2 linked regions of the Kluyveromyces lactis genome follow. The protein of the gene in region 1 interacts with the protein of each later gene in a pairwise test. Links are inferred from orthologs where the notes say so. Each region holds a gene or a part of one and is shown in the gene's direction. Other genes may lie near its edges.

What was found.
Region 2: the proteins of NUP159 (region 1) and KAP95 interact in binary tests that used the Saccharomyces cerevisiae proteins (3 or more experiments, as listed by UniProt). The link is inferred for Kluyveromyces lactis from reciprocal best matches to the Saccharomyces cerevisiae genes NUP159 and KAP95.

What each region holds. Positions count from the first base shown.
Region 1 is NC_006042.1:328,148-330,581, reverse strand, and holds the end of NUP159 (FG-nucleoporin NUP159), read left to right. Parts: coding exon 1-1,752; downstream 1,753-2,434. Other genes in the region: HIS5 (histidinol-phosphate transaminase), read right to left, coding at 1,821-2,434. UniProt on the Saccharomyces cerevisiae protein: Functions as a component of the nuclear pore complex (NPC).
Region 2 is NC_006038.1:508,885-513,195, forward strand, and holds KAP95 (karyopherin beta), read left to right. Parts: upstream 1-1,282; coding exon 1,283-3,868; downstream 3,869-4,311. Other genes in the region: long-chain fatty acid transporter ACB1, read left to right, coding at 135-161, 239-475. UniProt on the Saccharomyces cerevisiae protein: Importin beta subunit that functions in nuclear protein import through association with the importin alpha subunit, which binds to the classical nuclear localization signal (cNLS) in cargo substrates.

The sequences.
Region 1 (2,434 bases):
GAGACCAAAGATGGGCAAGAAGAAGAAGAAGAAGAAGAAGAAGAAGAAGAAGAAGAAGAAGAAGAAGAAGAAGAAGAAGAAGAAGAAGAAGAAGAAGGAGAAGAAGAAGAAGAAAAGGAGGAGGGAGAGGAAGAGGAGAAGGAGCAGCAAGCGCAAGATGAAGAACAAGTGAAAGATGATACTAAAGATGTATCAAAGGAGAAAAAGCAAGAAGAAGACAAAGGAAATGATAAGCAGGTCAAAGGTGATCTGCTCACTGAAGGATCTTTCCCATCGGCGGAGAGCACAACCCCTGTTGCTGCGTCTTACGTTACTGAGGAAGATGACACCAGATCGTCTGTTGCTTCTTTTACCGATAGGATAAAGAAAGCGGCTAACCTCTCAACGGAGAATATTGCCAATCCATTCATGAAATCCACAGCAGTTGAAAACAAAGATTCCTCACCTTTTTCGGGCTTCACAAATTCCTTATCCAAAGATACAGGAAAGGCTCCCGCATTTTCCTTTGCCAATCTCAAGAAGGATGGTTCTGAAATTACCTCACCACTGTCTAATGTCAATTCTATTAGCAACGAAAGTGTTATGAGAGAGCCAGAACCAGAATTAAAACAGAAAACTGGTGATGAGCCGGACCCCGAAGTGGCAACTCCCTCTACTAACCTCGCAAGTTCAGAACAGAAAAAGGAAGCACTTTCAAAGGATCAAGAAATTGTACCATCTTCAACTGTCAGTCCAGAATCTGGTAGCGTCTCTTCTTCACCAGTTGTGGTAGATTATCCTCCAGTCAAAATGAGTAAATCATCCGGTACTACTACAAAAGAATATGTTTCACAGCATGTGCAAGCGAGTGTACCTGTAGGAAGCGCTTCCACTCAAAGTCTTACTAAAGAAAGTGCAGACTTTACTTTACAAGCCTTTGAAAATGATGAGCAATATATAGCTGAAAGGTATCTTCCTGAAATGCCTAGTGCTTTCTATTCCACTGCTGAACTTAAAGAATTCAGTACAATATCTTCCGATGAAGTTGTACAGGCCGTTGAAAAAACAAATGCTCAAGTTTTAGCAAACATTCAAGTGTTACGCTCAAATATCGACAACATTGGGAAGTTTATAGGTGACCATTCCCAAAATTTATTCAAACGTACTGAGAAAACTGTCCCAATTGTCTCCTCCTGGAGACTTGGTGAGGCGGCCACTCTTTTGGATATCCTTACTTCCAAGGCTAAACAAAGCTACGAATTGAAACAGTCTTACCAAAGGTTAGCAGATAGTTCTTCTGCGGTAACTAATTTCGACATGCTAATCACGACACTAAAACGCCAATATGACATTCTTGAACTCTCCAACAGGACATCTAATCATTCCAACAGGAAACTTTCTTGGAGTCAGCATCATATCTCAACTATGGTAAAGAGGAAACTTGAAGAAGTCTCCTCGAAACTGGATGAAATTAGAGAATCCATTCAAGTACTAAAGCTTTACAATCTTACAAATACCAAGGAAGCACTGCATGCTGTGCAGCAATTGTCATTAAACGGAGGCATTGGCAGAGAAAACTTGTTAACAGAGATTCAGTCGTTAAGAGAAGAAATTTCTGTGTTAAAATTGTCGGCAGAAAAACCAAACCAACTAGAACCTGAGAATCTATTAATTAACACAGCTTCTACATCGTTGCCCCTTCTCGAAACTACTTTGGAGTTATATACAAGGGCTCAATTAGGAGATTTTTTCTCATCTAAACTGTCTACGTAATGTGTAGAACGAAATGGTCCAGTTGAATACGCTAAATAATTGCTTGCATCCACCTTTTCAAACCTTAATTAAGCCATTATTAAAGCAAGATGTTTCCTGAACTCTTTAATTAGAACATCATTTTCTTGCTTAGTACCAATGGTGATTCTTAAACCACCTGCGCAGCCAGGCTCATTACCTCTATATCTTGTTATAACAGCTGATTCAACGGCAAGCCTTTCATATAGCTTCTTAGTCAAAGCGTTGTCTCCATTGTTGATGTTTAATAAGATGAAATTAGCGTCTAGGCCACCCAATTGGGAAACATATGGAGAAGAAGTCAACTCCTTCAACACTCTCAATTTTTCCTTTTTAACTGTGGCAGCATTCTCTTCCATCAATTTCAAGTTTTTTGGTTGTACTGCTTTCAAAGCAACTTCTGCAGTCGAGCAAGAAATATTATAAGGAGCCTTCATCGAATTCAAGACTCTTGACATAGCTTTAGATGTATACGTAACTCCTAGTCTGATTCCAGCTAGGCCAAATGACTTAGAAAGAGTTTGTAAAACAGCAATATTTTCGTACTTTGTTGCTAGCGGTGCCAAGGACCCCTTATCAGAACCCTCAACAAAATCGATGTATGCTTCATCTACAACAACAAGACCCGTTTGCCATTGTGATAGAATCTTTTCAATACGATTAA
Region 2 (4,311 bases), on another chromosome or scaffold:
TTTCAGTGAGAAAAAACATATAAATACCTAATGCACAAAATCAAGAGAAGCTTTACACATGGTACTAAACGAAGGATTTGTGAAAGACAAGTGTTAGTTCAATACGTCAGATATCGACACTCACTCAAAACACAATGGTTTCTCAATTATTCGAAGAAAAGGTATGTGGAATCGTTGTTGCAATGGCTTTTGATTTCCCTTAATAATCATACTAACCGCATCTTACATTTATCTGCAGGCTAAAGCTGTCAATGAATTGCCATCAACTCCAAATAACGATGAATTGTTGAAATTGTATGCTCTATACAAGCAAGCAACCGTCGGTGACAACACCAAGGAAAAACCAGGCATGTTCAACTTGAAGGACCGTTACAAGTGGGACGCCTGGGAATTGTTGAAGGGCACTTCCCAAGAAGATGCCGAACAACAGTACATCGAATTGGTTGACCAATTGATCAAGAAATACGCCCCATAGAGCTGGATGGTCTCGCAAGTTATTGCATCATCTAACTAACTATCTATATCTACATATATATTATCCTTGATCCATATAGCTAATGATAATACCCTTATTACTCGGTTTGAAACACGAATTACAAGTCACGTGAACAAGCTAACGCCAACTATTTACCCGGCTATTTGCAGTTGAGTGGCAAAAAATTCTTTCTTCCCTAGCAGTATATAAGTTACCCTCCGTTAAACAGGAGCACGATCCCTATTTTTCTCTTCATTTATGGGGTTCATACATTGTTTTCTAGGCAATATATCCGGGTAACAGACTCTTTTACTTTCCATCTGATTCCACTCCAAATCGTAGCACAAACGCGCTTTACAAGATGCTACACAGCTTTTTCTTATTTTTTGCTTATTCCCAAGCTTCAAAGAATTTCTTTCCTTCACATCTATTTATCAAACAAAAACAACTAGAAAACATTTCGTAAACAAAAGAACTTAGGATCCAAGAAACAGGGAAACATTTCACTTTGTATCCTTGCGTTTAGGTGTCTTGTGCAAGGGAGAACGGTTCGTGAGACACTTGATCGAGAGTTCATACTCAGAAACTCGTTAGTAGGCGCCGAATAATTACAGAATAAAGGAAGATCTAACGTCGCTATTCGATATACTGATACTTTTATAAAGTGAACCAAGTGTGAAAATTTATTATTTGCCGTTTGCTGTTGCAGTTCCTTGTTTTATTTCTATAATTTTGGAGACTGACTATTGAAACGACCCGCTAGGATTTGGAAACACTAGTAAGTTATAATACCCTTTACAAATCGTTATGTCAGCTTCCGAGGTTGCCCAGTTTTTGGAAAACATTATCATTACTCCGGACCCAACGGTCCGTCTTCAAGCGGAGACGACGTTGAAGAAATTATCTAACGATAATTTCTTGCAATTCGCTGGACTTTTGTCTCAGATCTTGGCCGATGTGTCCGTTCGTCTTGAAGCTAGAATTCTAGCAGGTTTGACGTTGAAGAACGAATTGATTTCGAAGAACCCAACAAAGGCCCAGCAGTTTGCTCAACGTTGGTCTACGCAAGTCGATGCAGAGTCTAGACATCATATTAAGCAGTTTGCGTTACAAGCGTTGGTTGATCCAGAGACTCGTGTTGCCAACGCTTCAGCTCAGTTGATCGCTGCCATTGCAGAGATCGAATTGCCATTGAATCAATGGCCAGAGTTGATGAAGATTATGGTAGATAATACCGCTCAAGAACAACCAGAAAATGTTAAGAGAGCTTCCTTGTTGACATTGGGTTATATCTGTGAAAGTGCAGACCAAAGTGATGAAACTTTAATCAATCAATCGAACAACATTTTGATCGCTATCGTTCAAGGTGCACAGTCGAACGAAACTTCTAAGATTGTCAGACTTACCGCGCTTAATGCATTGGCTGACTCGCTTGCATTCATTAAGAATAATATGGAACGTGAGGGTGAAAGAAATTACTTGATGCAAGTCGTATGTGAAGCTACCCAGGCTTCGGATGAAGATATTCAAGCGGCCGCATTTGGTTGTCTTTGTAAAATCATGTCACTATACTATTTCTACATGAAACCTTACATGGAACAAGCTCTATTCGCTTTGACCGTGGCTACTATACAATCATCCAATGAAAAGGTGGCAGCAATGGCCGTTGAATTTTGGTCTACCATCTGTGAAGAAGAAATTGATATTGCTTTTGAACTGTCACAGTACTCCAACCCAGGCTTGGAATCTTACAATTTTGCTCTAGTATCCATCCAAGAAGTGGTGCCAACTCTATTACAGCTTTTAACAAAGCAAAATGAAGATCCGGATGATGATGATTGGAACGTGGCAATGTCTGCTGGTGCTTGTTTGCAACTATTCGCTCAAAACTGTGGTAACTACGTAGTAGAACCTGTCTTGCACTTCGTTGAACAGAACATCACCAGTGACAATTGGAGACAACGCGAAGCGGCTGTGATGGCTTTTGGTTCTATATTGGACGGTCCTGACAAAACTCAATTGACTAGTTTAGTCCATCAAGCGTTACCACCTATCCTCAACCTAATAACGGATCCAGTTTTGCAAGTGAAGGAAACAGTAGCATGGTGCATCGGCAGAATTGCAGACTCAGTCGTTGCTGCTATAGATCCTCAAGACCATCTTTCTGATGTTGTAAACGCTTGTTTGATCGGGTTAAAAGACCATCCAAAAGTGGCTACCAATTGTTCTTGGACGATTATCAACCTTGTCGAACAATTAGCTGATACCCCTTCTTCTCCGATATACAATTATTATCCAGTTCTTGTTAGCGCATTGCTTGAAGCTTCAAACAGGTCAGACAATGAATATAATGCTAGAGCATCTGTATTTTCTGCTTTGACTACTTTAGTAGAGTTCGCTAATGACCAAGTCGGGGAAACTACTACCTCAATTTCCACTTTTGTTTTGGATAAACTTGGACAAACAATGCAAGTGGATGAAGCTCAATTAACAGCTGAAGATAGACAAAACTTACATGAATTACAATCGAACATTTTATCTGTTTTGGCTGCAGTGATTAGAAAGAACCCACAATCTGTTAATCCAGTAGCAGATATGTTGATGGATCTATTTATGAAACTTTTGAGCAAGAATGATACAACATACGTGGAAGATGATGTCTTTTACGCTATTTCTGCTCTAGCATCTGCGTTGGGTAAAAACTTTGAAAAGTATTTGGAAAGTTTCTCCCCATATTTGGTTAATGCGTTAAATCAAGTACAGTCCCAAGTTTCTATCACTGCCGTCAATCTAATTGCTGATATCTCTAACTCTTTAGAGGATGACTTCAAGAAATTCGCTCCATCGTTCATGAGTGTTCTTGGGCAAATGCTTTCTTCTCCAGATGCGAAGAAGGAATTACAACCTGCAGTCCTTTCTGTTTTTGGTGATATTGCCACCAACATTGGATCAGATTTTATACAGTATTTGTCCCAAGTTATGTCCGTGTGCGTCATGGCTCAAAACTATAAACCGAATTATAGCTCTTCTGATGCCCTCGATTATCAATATAAATTATACGAATCAATATTGGACGCATACGTAGGAATAATAACAGGGCTACACGACCAACCAGATGCATTGTTTCCTTACACAGGTTCAATTTTCCAATTTATCAACTTATTGGCTGATAATCCAAGTGTTGCATTAGAAGATTCAATTGCAAGAACAGCAGTCGGTATAGTGGGTGATATTGCTGCCATGTACCCAGACGGAAGGCTCCAACAATTCTATACACAACCATGGATGATTAAGTTTGTAAAGGACGTGAAAACCAATCAATCCTTTTCTCAAAACACTAGAGATACAGCAAGGTGGGCAAGAGAACAACAAAAGTTGCAATCTAACTTGTGATTCTTTTCATTCGCTCTTGTTTGCCTGCCTACTATTAATAACAATACACTGACTTCCACAGACAACTCACTTGCATAATTCACTGCCTTTGACAGTTTATTCACTCCAACCACTGTTCATTGGATCTATGGACGCCAGTTCCCTCATCCTTTTTAATATAAAGAAGTCGACCAGTTCAAATTTCCTTTGATCCACTACTATCATTCTCATTACTCCTACTACTCTTATTCCCTACTCTTCTACTACTTACTACTCTCTTTTATTCTCACTATTGCACTACTTATTATTCTACCCTTGTATTTTATTTAATAACTCATTATTCTGTTTTATTCTCTTCTCTACCTACCTCTTTTATGATACAACTTCTTTCTCGATTTAAAGCAACCTGGAGTTTCCGTTCTAATGTCACAATGGTCACTACTCTTTGCTGTCACACTCATCCA